Linked DNA regions of Diceros bicornis minor. The protein of the gene in region 1 interacts with the protein of each later gene in a biochemical or structural test. Links are inferred from orthologs where the notes say so. Each region holds a gene or a part of one and is shown on either strand. Other genes may lie near its edges.

Region 1 (6,959 bases):
GCTGGCTGCTGGGGAAACAAGATAGGCCCTGGGATGTTCCTGGGCCTGGATGGCGTGGCAGGGGGGCTGGGGGACAACAAGAGGATCGGAATGCAAGGATTATCCTTTCTCTCTAACACCACTCTCCCGCTCGGCTCCCTTGTGCTCTCGCTCTCTCGCTCCTGCTCTGGATCTCTCAAAGTCAGGATAAATTTGCTTTTCTCTGCTTGGCCAAAAAGCAGACCATCGTGAAAAGTTACGTTGTTATTTTTAAACTCAGGAGGCTTTCCTGTTAACATAATTTTCTTTTAATCCAGATGGTAACTGACATTTATCAAATGGTTTCTCTGTGCTCCAGGCACCTTGCGAAGTCTGTTATGTGAATTGAGTTAACTTCCGAATCCTCATAGCAACCCTAGGAGGCAGGCGCTATTGTTCCCCCATTATACAGCTGGGTGAACCGAGGCGCAGAGAGGTTACCCCCCCGCCCCGGGTACACAACTGGAAGTAGCAGAGCTGGGGTGTGAAACCAGGTGGGCAGGCTTCCGGAGTCCAGGCTGCTAGCTCTCACCCGAGGCTTCCTCCAAACAATCTCGAAGCCTTTGCTGGTAGCCTCGGCTCCCAGACCAGCATCTGACGTACTCCCAGCCAGACATCCCTTGCCTGCATGTTTGTTTGCATTCATTCATTCAGCAATCAAGCAAGCACTCACTGAAGGCCTGGTGCAGTCTTGGGGTCTCCTTTGGGGGAGGAAGCAGGGAAAATCAAAACCCCCCCCGCCCAGCATGGATCACAGGAAAGATAAGGCTAAAGAGGGGGTTGTGGGAGTTCAGAGGGAAGCTTATCTCTTCCAGGTCCTGGATATGGAGAGCACACTGTCTCTTCATCTTGCACGAGAAAAGATGGCATCCCAGAGGAAGGGTGGTGGGTGAGCAGCCTGGGAGATGCCTTAGCCCGGCACCTGCACAGTCAGCCCTCTGTCCACCCTGCTCTGTAGCTATTGGCTGTGCTTATCATTATTCATTCAACAGGTACTTATTGAGCACCTGCTGTGTGCCAGGCTCAGGCGGGCTCAGGTGAGATGCACAGAGGGGTAAATGATCCTCGCTTCAGGGCCCTGCCATGGCTGAGGGGGGACAGGGTAGATGCTGACCAATCTGTTGTTTTCATATGTAAATGAGTAGCACCAATACCTGCTGCCCCCACCCCAAGCCTCACTTGCCTGTTAAAATCCCCCCAAAAGATTTGAGAGTGGATTGAAAACTAGAGAAGGCTGCTGCGGAGGAGCAGCATTTTAGACCTGGGAAGAAAGCAACCTCCTTCATCTCAGCTGACGTCGGAGGTAGCAGAGCAGTGCAGTGGCTCTGCCCCTGGAAGGCCAGCCCTGGGGACACGGGCAGCTCTGGGGAGACACAGCCCGGTGTCTGTGGCTCACTCTGCAGGGCCTGTGCACTTGCCGGTCACTCCACCTGGGCTGCCTTTCCCTGGGAAGCCCTCTCTTTCCCATCCTTCCAGGACTCAGGTCAATGGCGTATCCCCGGGAGATATCCCTCCCACCTCCCTCAGCTCATCCTGTTTATTTACTCCTGTCACTTGTCACAGGCTAAAATGATCTGGGTCGTACACTCTCGGATGGACACTGGAGGCCAGCCAGTGCTCCTCCGACTGCTTCGGTGGGTCCCTGTGTTAGTTTCCCACCCTCCACATTTCCTCCCTGACCCTCCCGTGTGCTCCCTCTGCCTGGCTGCAGTGGTTGAGTGCACGCATCCTTCCCTGAGTGGCTCGACCGACAAGCACTGCCTCTCCTCCGGCCCCCAAAGCGTGTGTAAGTTCCTGCTTTGTCTCCCCGGGCCTGAAGGCCAGCTTCGGGATGGAGGCCACCGTGTGGCTCACGCACTCTGCACCCTCCAGCCTGGCGCTGTGCTTGGCAGCGGCATGGGCCACATGGTTTGTAGGGCCCAGTACAAAATGAAAACAGGGGCTCTTTGTTCATAGATTATGAGGAATTGCAAGACGGCAACAGCAGAGCATTAAGCCAAGTGTGAGGCCCTTCTGAGTGAGTGCGGGCGCCTGGGCCCATGAAGCCCCCCTGCCTGACACCCAGGAAGTACCCCACAAGCCTTTGTTGAAGGAAGGAGTTAACAGACGAAGGGCAGGTGGAGGGGTTTTCAGAGTGCCTTGACTGACGGTGGGCAGAGGCCCAGCTCTGGGTGAGGGGGCTCAGGACCTCTTCCGTCTGGCAGCCTGGGGCCATATAACAGGGTCAGAGGATGTGGTATGAATGGCTAGGACCTTGCAGCCTTGCATTTCTCTTCTCCCTGCCTGGCCTCTGGCCTCTCCTATCTCCACCCATGTGGCCCCTCAGGCTGCCACTTGTCCAAAAGCCCCCAAAGGGCCGCATGGCAGAGCCATCTCTGCTCTAGAAAACTAGAAGACCAGGTTCCTCTTTACCAGCTCTTGGAGCTTTCTCTCACCCCCAAGTGAGGCTTAGCCAGACTCTCCCAAAGGAAACCTCTGTCCCCAAACTCCCTGGGGCGATCCTCCATGTAGCCCATCAGAAGGGAGCCACTGGTTTGTGGGTTTGCCTCCTGGGGGGGCACCAGAGGGGAAGGAGGAAGGTTGAACTTTAACCCCATGGTCTTCACTGCCGCTCTGGATGAAGTGTTATTTTACTCCCATTTTTACGGATGAAGAAACCGAGGTTCTGAAGAGCAGTAATTCACTCAAGTCCCACAGCAGGTTCTGAGGTGTCTAGGGTGCCTGTGTCCACACGCCACATGAGCCGGGCTCTGAATGACGGGATAAAGGAGGCAAGGAGCGGCTGACTGTCTGGGGGGGTCCCAGGCACAGACCCTCAGAGGTGAACTGGATGCAAACTGGGTGCAAGCCCAGCTGCACGCTCCTCAGACACTGCCAGGCAGGGGCTGATGGGGAAGGTATGGGGTGGTGGGCCCGGGGTGTCTGGTCTCAGGCTGAGAAGTGGTTGGAATTAAACGGGTACCCAAAGGGGAGGAAGTGGAAGGGAATTCTCCAGCTCACACAATTTCATGTATTCATTGGATAAATAATGATTGTCTAGCCACAGGGGCTACCAGGCCCTGGGTCCTAGGCATTGCGGCTAGAAGGGCAACCTAGGGAGGCCAGCCTGGGCCCCCAGGGTGCTCCATTTCCAGTGAGGGAAACAAGACAATAAAGAAGGCACAGATGACTCAAACAGTAATTGCAGACTGTGAGAGGCGTTAAAGAGAATAAAACAAGTGTGTGTGTGTGTGGGGGCGGGGCAGCGGGAGCTGGGGGAGGTGAGGTGGGGAAGCGACCTTAGCTTTGCTGGTCCAGGAAGGTCTCTGGGAGGAAGTGGCACCTGAGTGGCACCTGGAGGGGAGAGTCGCCAGCCTAGGCACTGATGGAGGAGAGGGATAAAGGGAGTGGAGAGAGTTCTAGGCAGAGAGAACGGCAAGTGCAAAGACAAGCTTGCACAAGCACGGGGAGGCGCGGAGGGGTCAGCGTGGCTGGAGTGAAGGGCGGGGGCAGAGGGACGAGAGGGGTTTGGGGGTCACCTCCTCCGGGAAGCCTTCTCCGATTCCTGCCCATTCCCCCAGTTTCTTCCACCGCAGCCTGAATCCCACGGGTCCCGCTCAGGTCTCCTTCCCAGTCTCGACTGCAGTCCGGAGAGGGCAGGGCCGGCTCAGATCCCTCCCTCCGCATCCCCGCGGCGTCCGGCCGGGCGCTGGGCACCCTGTGGGCACTCGGTAAATATTTGTGGAGCGCACTGGAAGGAATGAATGAACCCATTGGGTGCAGCTGGGGGGAGGGCGGGGCCGAGGGCAGGTGGGAGGCCGCGGGCGCGGGAGGGGCCCCTGGAAGCCCGTCCTCCTCCTCCTCCTCCTCCCAGGCCCCAGCGCGTACCACTCCGGGCTCCCGAGGCGGCCTCTCGTGCGATCAAGGGCGCGCAGAGCTGGGTGAGCGACCCGGGGCCCCTGCTCTCGGCGCCGGAGTTCGGAAGAGGGTGGGTCGCCGCCGCCCGAGGGCGAGAGCGCGAGAGGAGCGGGAAGAAGAAGCGCTCGCCCGCCCGCCCGCCGCCTCGCTGCCTCCCCGGCGCTCGCTCTCCCGGCTCCTAGGTTTGCTGGCAGCTCCTCCCACCCGCGCCCGCCTCCTTGCTCGCTCGCTCGCTCGCGCCGGTTTCCAAGCCCCGCGGTGTGCCCGGGAGAGTGCGGGGCGAGGGGCCCCGGGGCCAGCGCCGAGCCGGCGGTTGGGGTCCGGGCAGAGCGCAGCCGGCCGGGGAGGGGCCATGTCCGGCGCGGGCGCAGCGGGGCCCGTCTGCAGCAAGTGACCCAGCGGCGTGGACCGCCCGCCTGCCCCCCTCCGCCGCCTGGGGCGGCGCGGGCCCGGGCGCCCGGCGCCCCGAGCCCGGGTCGCGCGTAGAGCCGGCGCGATGCACGTGCGCTCGCTGCGCGCCGCTGCGCCTCACAGCTTTGTGGCGCTCTGGGCGCCCCTGTTCCTGCTGCGCTCTGCCCTGGCCGACTTCAGCCTGGACAACGAGGTGCACTCGAGCTTCATTCACCGGCGTCTCCGCAGCCAGGAGCGGCGGGAGATGCAGCGCGAGATCCTCTCCATCTTGGGCTTGCCCCATCGCCCGCGCCCCCATCTCCAGGGCAAGCACAACTCGGCGCCGATGTTCATGTTGGACTTATACAATGCCATGGCGGTGGAGGAGAGCGGCGGGCCCGACGGCCAGGGCTTCTCCTACCCCTACAAGGCCGTCTTCAGTACCCAGGGCCCCCCTCTGGCCAGCCTGCAAGATAGCCACTTCCTCACCGACGCAGACATGGTCATGAGCTTCGTCAACCTTGGTGAGTGAGGGCGGGGGGGGGGGGGGCGCGCGTCTCGGTCAGGAGGCGCTTTGGGACAGGGAGCCACTTCTTACATCCAGCCCGCCGATCTTTCCACTCCTGGCCATTTGTGAAACTGCAGTGCCTGGCAACGGGTCTCCTACCCCAGGTCCTAGTGGACCCCCAGCTGTGCGCGCCCCAGGTAGGGCGGGCGGGGCTCATCTGGCCTCTGGGAGTTTTGGGGAGAGCAGGACTGGTCCGAAGCCCCTCGGGGTTAAGTCGGCGGCCGCACCCCTGGAGTAGGAGGCGCCGGGCCGGCCGCGGCTCAGTTCAAAGCGCGGGGCCGGGTCATGTGAGCTGTGCCCGGCCGGCGCTCCCGCGCTACCTGGATTTAAAAGGCCCTGCTCGGTGGAGCTGCCTTCCCGCCCTTTCTGGGCCCCTCTCAGCCCCGCCTGGCCCTGGCATCGCGGGCGTCGCGCCCCCTTCCCCGCCCTGGCAACCCTACCTGTCCCCTCGCGGTGCGCCCGCCTTAGCATGCTGCGTGCCCTGAGCGCCTCCGGGCTCCTCTCCTGGCCGCCGGGCGCCCCCCTAGCTCTCCTCTCTCCTGGCTGGAGCTAGAGAAGAAACGTTGCCATTGCGAGCTTTCTATTTTAAATATTTAATGATAGGTCCCGGACGGGCAGAATCCATTTTCAGCGTTTATCACGTGTAGCGCGCAAACCACGGCTTTTGGCGATTGGGTGGCGCGGGATCTCCAAGCAGACGCCGCCGGGGGCGGCTGGGGGACCCGGCTCCCGCCTGGAGCCGCGACAGCCCCGGGGGCGAAGTTGCTCCCCTTCCATCTGTGCCCCCACATTCACCAGACTTGCTCAAACTAACCCCCGGCGGCGCGCTGTAGGGCTGATGATCAAATATTTGGTTTCCGAGATAACACGCCCCGATAGCGCTGTTTCCTGAGCCGCGTTCATTCTACGCGTGTAACTTGCTGCGAAAATCCGAACCAAGTCAGGACAGCAAACTCACGCCCACGGGCGCTGGGTCAACAGGAGAATAATGATCCTGAGTCCCCCGCTGGGCACCTGGGGCGTGGATGGGGGCGCCGGGAAGCGGGGATCAACCTTAATGCCTCCGGCTCCTGATGAAGTCCCTGGAGTTCTCGGGACGCCATTGTCTGTCCTTAATAATAGCCAAAAATCAAATAGTGAAACGAGTTTCAGCGAGCAAGGGGGTGGGAGGTTTAGATGCCAAAATAACTTCAAGAAAGTTTAAATTATACTAAGCAACCTCTTAGAAGGAGGCGGCTCCATATGTCCTGATTCAGAACAATCTCCAAGATGTATGAGGTGGAAAAATCAAGGTGCAGATCAGTGAGGTTACTTATGTGCTGGTGTATCATCCGTTCCCACTGGAAGAAGACACCTTGAACTGGAAATAGATTTTAGGGCTGGGAGTGGTGGGGCGAAACTGGGGCTGGGGCTTTGGGATTGGGAGCTGGGGTCTGATCTTTCCTTGTCTGCACTTTTGTCTATCCATGTGATGTTTTTTTTTTTTTTTTACCTTGTGTATTTATGGCCTATACCAGAAACTAAGGAAAGATTCCAAATACATACATATGAACAAGTAAATTAAAGCAGAGTTCTATAGCCATCCTGAAGCCAGGGTTTAACATGGCCCTTTCTCTGGCGGGGATTCATGGCATCTTCTGTTCTGTTGGGTACCCGGGACTCCGAGTGAATGCAGCAGGTCCCGGTGGTGGCCTCCAGAGCCTGGCTGGGGTCATTATAAAGGTATTTGTAAGCCCTGGCTTCTGTGGAAGGCTCTGCAGACCCAGTGCTGCTTCTTATGGACCAGCAGCATGGTCAGACCTGGGCGTTCCCCCTCCCCAGAGAAGGACCAGGTTGCTGACTGGCCGCCTCTGGCGACCTGGGGGCAGGGCTCTTTGCCCCCTCTTGGTGGGGGGAGCAAGCTGGGACTTGTTTGGGGCAGCTGGGTGGTTTTCCTCTGGCTGTACACACACCTTTCAACCCCGTTAGACCCATTTCTTTCATCTTGAAAGGACAAAGACCAGCTTGTCTGAGCCTCTTAATCAGTTGGGCTGGCTTTGGGCTTTTGTGGGACAGTCCTGACTTTCTCAGGTCTTGCTTTCGGGAA
Region 2 (7,993 bases), on another chromosome or scaffold:
CAGTACTTCTAGAAAAAAATTCAGGTCTTTCACTTCATTTGTATGACAACACAGCAAGAGATGGATCCACCCAGTGTTGTGGATCCATCAGAAAGATTAATCAGAAGATTAATCAGAAAGTAGACTGAGATCTCAACACTTTGAACTGTTTTTAGATTACCAAGATTAAAATGTAACTGGTCTGCCATTATGCACAATAATATAGGTTTTTTTGCACATAACTCCAAACTAAGAAATTTATAAAAGAATTTCACATACCAATTAGAATGACTTGCAGATACCAATATAAAAAAAACCCACACATTTAATCATCAGATGAGACTTTTTCCCGCTGGAGCTATGGAAAAAAAGCAAACGTGAAGTCTATATTATCTAATTCCTACGTTTTCTCGCCACAAACAGCACCGCCTTCTGACTTCCCAATTTTGTTAATAAAATAACCAACATTCCAGAGACACTGAGCATCAACACTTCAGAGCTACCCTTAACATCAGTCTCCTTCATCTTCTGTATCCAAAGAGCTGCCAAATACAATGGATTCCACATACTCAACGTGCCAGGAATTATCCCTTTCTTTCCATTACTTCTGCCGCAATGCAGTTCAGCCCTTTATTATCTGTGCAACTTCCGAATGCATTCCAGTTCTTCCTAAGCAGAGTTCCAACTGCTCTCCATAAAGCCCAGTTCCAAGTTACTGCTTTTCAACCTTGAATGGTTCCCCTCTGCCTAGCAAATTAAGTGAACACTTCTTGACCTGACATTTAAGACTCATTACATGGCAGTTTTCTTCAGGCACAACCTATTTAAGGCATACAATTCTGAAACTTCGTTTCTCCTCCAGTTCCTAGGGTCTTATCTCCCTATCTTTACTCAAGCCATTTCCGCCAACTGAGTGCCTCTTGCCCCCATCTCCTCTCACCAAAAAAGCGGCTTGATGCTTTAATAATGACCTCAAACATTGGTTCCTTCATAATGATTTTATTTTTCTCCATCCACCTCTGACCCTGCCCTTCTAAGAACCCTCACAGAATGCCTGTGTCTTGTATAGTTTCTATGTCTTGAATATTGTTTATTTTTACTTTTGCATTATGCCATTAGTAATTCATTGGCTCCATGAGGAACAGAAAATGGGCCACAGCTATTTCTCATCTAGAGGCACCTAATGATCTGATCATAGTAATAGTGTCAGTATTCACTGAATTTAACTGAAAATGTTAATACATTAATGCAGGTGTGGAGACAAATCAGTTCATCAGTGACCCATAGTGAGTGAAGGAACTGGTCCGCCCATGAGAGGCCCTCACTGCCCCTTGCTCGTGCACTACATCTGTGACCTGAACTAGCTGTGTCCAGATCATCTGAGTTTACTAGTTATTGTCAGTGAAACTCAAGAACTTGGGATGAATGGATTACATACAAATAACTTTCAAGCAAAGAAAGTAAATATTAGGTGAATTTTGAGATAGGAAATATCTTTTTAAAAGTAACTCCTATTATTCTACCACAGGAAAAATTATCCTTTTATTAAGTTTCAAAATAAAACAAAATGATTTAAACTAAACATATTTTTTTAAAAGCCAACACATAAGTTAATTTGAGGTCATCTGTTTTCTAAATTTTATCTACTAGATTTTCATCTTATGAACACCATTCAAAGATACTATTTAAAACTATTTTTTTAAACTGTAAAAAAGCAAATGTAGCCATCACACGCACACACACACACAAACTATAAATCAATATAACACTGTAAGATTCCATGAAAATAGTGATAGCTTTAAAAAATGCAACCCAATGTATAGCCAAATAACTCACGCAACTCAGCATGCATTGCTGACTTTGGATATGATCACTAAATTTAACAAGGTGTTCTTGAGAGAAACAAAATAAGACAGGTCCCCGGAGCATCCATTCAAAATGGCAGATGCATCTGAACTCCAGGGCACACTCCTCTAGGCTAATATTATGGTTGGCCTTAAATAAAAATTGTAAAATTTAAATATCTTTAATTTAAGTAATACTTCAGAATGCAGGAAAACTCATTGCTGAAGTATGGCTAGCAAGCACAACAGAAAAATTAGAGCCATATAAGGCCTAAATATGATGTAATTTTTCTTTATGTATAAGACCAAAAAGAGTTTCATACACAATTTGCAAAATCTGTAAAACATCTGTTCAGAAGAAAAAGTATTAAATGTCCTGCAGCACAATCTGGAGTAGCACACCTATTTTTCATAAACAGTATTTCACAGTCATTCATCACTGAGTCACACATATCAAAGCTGTCACTTTCAAAAAAGAAAAAGAAATTTGTGCCTTGCAGGTAATCTTTGCTGCATGAAATTGGATTGCTGCAAATTACCATTCACTGAATTCTTATAAAGCCCTGATCACTGCCTGTCACCGTTTGGCACAATCCAATAAAAGTTATTTCTCACCAACACCTCCCACCATCACCACCACCCATTCAGCCTTAAAAACCCACTTGGTTCTTTACCTTATCTTTCTGAATCGATGGTTAAAGTCCTTATGAATATCCAATCTCTCATTAAAATTCCCCCAGTACCATGTCCAAGTTTCGAAGCACTTCTGTGCTTTTCTTTACATGTGAATTTGACATGGATTTAGAATATTAAGACATCTGCTCTGAGTTGTTTTTCTAACACTAGGTAAAAGATTGGAGCTGATCTGTGAAACTATTCTCACATAATTTTTTTAACTACTGACAACATTTAGGATATAGCTGGCTAAGGTTAAGAAGCCAGTGTGTTATTAAAAAAACAACAGCAAAATGAACTGATTTATATTGGGACAGACTGCTTACCTTTGGCGTCATTAATTCTTAGCTTCCCTGTAGTCATATGTTGTTTCTTAATTATAGATTAACAAGAAAATTAATGGGGAAATAATCACTCTTCATCATTCCTATGTCCATTTCTTTCTCAGAACTTGCATCTTTAAAAAAATTTATTTCTGGGTTAAAAAAGGAGAGTGGTAATCACAGATTGTGAAATTGACTAAAAGTATATATGACATTTATGCTGTTTTATGTATGGTACTGCAGGAATCCACATTCCTAGAGTCTGGATAGCAGGAGGATAGGTCTTTATGAATAGGAAGAGGGAGATTGATAAGTTTCTGATCTAACAGACATGAGTTCCACTTCTTGGAAGCAGAGAAAAAAGGTGATCCAACAGATATTTTGTAGAGTCCAATACAAACTCTTCATTCAATAGGCAAGGAAACTAAGGTCTAAGCAGACAGGAGATTTTACTTCTAGGAAAGTAAACTAAATTAGGAAAGTGCAGGCAAAAGTACCAAAGCCTTTGATATGTCAGGCAAAATTCATTCAGTGGCAATGATTTATTCAAACTAACTTGCACATAAAGAAGTTTTATTGGCTCCCATAACTAAAAAGTTAAGAATAAGCCTAAAGTAAGGTATGAGCTTCAGGTAAGGCATGATCCAACAGTTCAACAGAATAGCCAAGGATCCATTTCTCCACTATACCATTTTAGCTCATTATTTCAACACAGGGGCCAGCAATTCTTGAGGCTAAATACTCCCCTTGCTCAAGTTCACCAAAAAAGAAAGCATTGTTGTTCTAAAACACTCAGTGAAAGCTCTGTGATTCACTTTGATTGAATCGGCTTAGGTCACATACCCACCCAGCACACATCACTAGAGCCAGAAGGATGAAATACCCTATTGTCTTGATCTCAACTGCATGCAGGAGGTGAAGTCAGCTTCCCTGGAAATTCATGGATACTCAGAAGGAAACCATGGACCATTGGTAGGAGAGAAGCTGGCAAATGAACGTTGGGGAGGCAGCCAAATAGTCCACCCCATCAGTTAAGTCTGAGATACATTCTGATCCTATATCTGAGACTTTGCCTCTGCCCTTTTTTATAGTCTGTTTTGAGAGATTATGGTGGGATGAACAATATATTTACAATGAAAAGAAGCAAAATGCCACTAAGTGTCCCTATTCCAATTAAGGTAGCAGTGGACTAGGTCTCCCAAAAGGCTCCTACATCTTCCTTATCTCCTCCGAGTTTTGTAATGTTGAGAAAGAAAAACGTAAAGCAAAAAATATATATATTATTATTCCCCAATTTATGAGTACACTAAGTTTTGCCTAGAAATATTAGAGCAAGAAGACACTATATAAGGAAATATTTCAGCTGATAGGATGATTTCAGTAATGCTAAAGCTCCAACTTTACCTTGCTTGTCCCAGAAAAAGTAAAGACAAGTAACTACAGTTGCCAAATAGGAGTAATACACATGCTTCAAGTAAATGTTTTAAACGCCTAAGGGCAGGGAGGAAAGGAAAATTATTCTCAGAAGGTAAAGGAATTTCTTCCAAAAATGAAAGAGAATACTACAGTCCCTAAAACAGCGTATGCTAGTCAAGACATAACATCCCTAAACTGGATCCCATAATAACTGGAAACAACTGAGTGCCGAAGGCAACCCCCACTCAAGAGTAGTTTACTTCTCATGTTATTTATCTCCATACTGTAGATCTTCCTAAGGCTCAGTCCAAGTATGAGCCAGACCTTTCAGAAGAGCCTGGTTAAGGAGATCTAGAATCCAAATTATCTTGGAAATGAAAGATCATCTCATCTAGTAGATTTCAAACTGCCTAGGGGTAGGGGCAAACAAAGCAAAAGAAGTTTTATAACCACTCCCTCTTCCCACTATTACATCTCCAAGAAGAACATGTCTGATTTTATCTATTCTACAAAAATAGCTTCTGGAAAAGACTTCATTTGAACAAAAAGCTCTGCGTCTGAAAGAATAGTTAACCTAAACTTATTTTTCTTTTTTCATATTCTTTTTCTTTTCTTTTTTTAAATGCTATTTTATTGTGGTAAGACGCTTAACCTGAGAACTACCCTCTTAACAAATTTTAAGTGTATGACACAGCATTGTTGACTAGAGGTGCAATGTTGTACAGCAGATCCCTAGAATTTACTCACCTTGCTTAACTGAAATTTTGTGCCTGTTGATTAGTAACTCCCTATTTCCCCCTGCACCCAACCCCTGGCAACCACCATTCTACTCTTTGATTCTACAAATTTGACTATTTTAAATATCCCATGTAAGTGGAATCATGCAGTATTTCTCTTTCTCTAACTAGCTTATCTCATTTAACATAATGTCCTCAAGGTTCACCCATATTGTCACATATTGCAGAATTTCCTTCTTTTTAAAGGCTGAATGGTATTCCATTGTATGTATACACCACATTTTCTTTATCCATTCATCTGTTGATGAACATTTAGTTTTTTTCCGTATCTTGGCTATTATGAATAGTTCTGCAATGAACATGGGTGTGCTAATACCTTTTTGAGATCCTTACTGCAATTCTTTGGATAAATATCCACAAGTGGGATGGCTGGATCATATGGTAGGTCTATTTTTAATTTGTGAGCAGCCTCCATACCGTTTTCCACAGTGGCTCCACCATTTTGCATTCCCACCAACAGTATGCAAGGGTTCCAATTTCTCCACATCCTTGCCAACACTTGTCTTTTGTTTTTTGACAACAGCCATCCTGATAGGTATGAGGTGATATCGCATTGTGGTTTTGATTTGCTTTTTCCCAATGACTAGTGACATTGAGCACTTTTTTTATATACCTATTGGCCATGTATGTATGTCTTCTTTGGAGAAATATCCAAGTCCTTAGCCTATTTTTCAATTCGGGTATTAGGGGTTTTTTTGCTATTGACTTGTAGGAGTTTTTTATATATTTTGGAGATCAACTCTTATCAGATACATGGTTTGGCAAATATTTTCTCCCATTCTGTAGGCTGCCTTTTTACTCTGTTGTTTCCTTTGCTGTGCAGAAGCTTTTCAGTTTGATGTAGTTCTACTTGTTTATTTATTTATTTATTTTTTTGCTGCCAGTGCTTTTTGTGGCATATCAATGAAAGCATTGCCAAGATTAATGTCATGAAGCTTTTCTCCTATGTATTCCTCCAGAAGTTATACAGTTTCAGGGTTATATTTAAGACCTTAATCCAATTTGAGTTGATTTTTGTGTATAATGTAAGACAAGGGTCCAAATTCATTCTTTTGCATGTGGATGTCCAGTTTTTCCAACACCTAAATTCATTATTTTTCGATCTGAGAAACTGAAGTCCAAGAAGGTTCAATCATTTATCAGTATCCAGTCTAAATGCCAAACTTGAACTCAGAGCTCTGGAATTCATTCAACAATTATTATGCAACTACTACTAGTCATTACCCAGAGCAGTCTCTGTAAACCAGACGCCAATCACCAAAAAATGAACCAGAATATCTAAACGATCCCTTCAATTTCAATACTTCCTTTCATAAACATAAAACTTTAGATTACATAAGTCTGTTGCATTCATATCCCAACTCTGCTTACTTGCTATGTGACTGTGGGATAGTTTCTTAACTCTCTTAAGACTCAATTTTCTCATCTGCAAATAGTAATAACATAAAGCTACCTCCAAAGGATTAAAAGATAAAAAAAAAATATGAAGTGCATTTGGAACTGAGAAAATATTAAATATATGCTAACTGATAATATTAACTGAAAATAACTCAGAACACTACTATGTATTCTATTACTGATGTGGCACAGTTGTTTTTCATTTTCAAACTTCACCATCATGTATAAAAAATGCACAGAAGGATATTCAATAGAACAATTATAAAGCTAATGAAGAAATAAGCTGTATGAGATCAATCATACACAAGGATATTTTGCATGACTGTAAGCATTTGAGAGACCCGCATTGGAAAATGAGTCAATGAAATAGCACTTTTGATGTGAGTTCCATTGGGATATAAGAATCTAATGGCAGCACAGGAACAGTGGTGAAAACTATGCAATTTGGCCCTTCTGAATTCAAAATAAAGGGAAAATTTTAGTTCAGCCTAGAGAAGAAATGTTGGCAATGGCTAAAAGATTGCGTAATTTGGGGTTTGAATAACAAATGACAAATTTAGGCTCATAGTAGAAGGTGTAAAGGTAGCTTAACATTTATCTTTAACAGATAGTAATAAGGTTGGTTTTATGGATCATACTATTGATTCTTATTCAAAATAAAGATATATCAAGGGGTTATCCAGAGATGAAATCTGGCTCTGAGGAGTAATTTTTCATATACTGGGTAATAGAAGGCTGACTAAAATTATTTCACATATAAAGATAATTTTAATATATATTATAATTGAGATAAAAATTTCTTGGAGTCACAGTGATGAGGAAATTACATCAAGAGCTCCTCTCTGCTTTAGTTTTTGCAATCTACAACCAACTTTGAAAGAGAAAATATGATAGTTGTATTAATAAAAGACTATTAGCAGACTGTTGAAATCACTTTTTGTAGTTTGCAAACCCGAACTAAGTTTGCACTTAATATAATGTTTTACTTGTGGTTTGCTCTATACATTACACATTGCTATTGTATTAACAGTATTAACAGAATAGCATATAAGTATCACATACCCACACCACACATAATAAATACCCATATGTTACACATACATATAAGAAACATGCTTAAGGAGAATTATAATTTCTTTAAGAATTGCTAATTCAAAATTATTTATTTGAAATATGAGAATCTTTTTTTTTAACATCAGCATATTTTGGTTACAAAAAAGGACTCTATGTTTCTCCTTCACCAATTTGCAAAAGGGTATTTCAAAATTCACAAAAATCTCAATATGTCATTTAGTTTTAATGCTATCAACTTGCAAGGAGACAGGTTGTACTTATCTTCCTACAGAATACAGTATTTCTGCTCTAAGCCCACTAAAGTGTGGAAAATAATTCTGTTCACATGTTAACATTAACCAAGCTAAAAGCACTCTCTGAGGTCATACTGTACCTCAAAAATATCCTGTTTCAGCCTCTAGAGGAAAGACAGGTTCAGAATGCCAAGCAATCGGATTGCTTGAGACTTAGAAAAAACAATGTTAGGACCTGCTGAAGGAGTTTCAAT

Evidence for each region. The genes of interacting proteins can lie anywhere in the genome.
Region 2: the proteins of BMP7 (region 1) and BMPR1B form a complex in vitro, tested with the Homo sapiens proteins (2 studies listed by BioGRID). The link is inferred for Diceros bicornis minor from reciprocal best matches to the Homo sapiens genes BMP7 and BMPR1B.

The regions. Positions count from the first base shown.
Region 1 is NC_080758.1:6,231,649-6,238,607, forward strand, and holds the start of BMP7 (bone morphogenetic protein 7), read left to right. Parts: upstream 1-3,947; 5' UTR 3,948-4,411; coding exon 4,412-4,829; intron 4,830-6,959. UniProt on the Homo sapiens protein: Growth factor of the TGF-beta superfamily that plays important role in various biological processes, including embryogenesis, hematopoiesis, neurogenesis and skeletal morphogenesis.
Region 2 is NC_080747.1:78,225,788-78,233,780, reverse strand, and holds the start of BMPR1B (bone morphogenetic protein receptor type-1B), read right to left. Parts: upstream 3,014-7,993; 5' UTR 2,862-3,013; coding exon 2,825-2,861; intron 1-2,824. UniProt on the Homo sapiens protein: On ligand binding, forms a receptor complex consisting of two type II and two type I transmembrane serine/threonine kinases.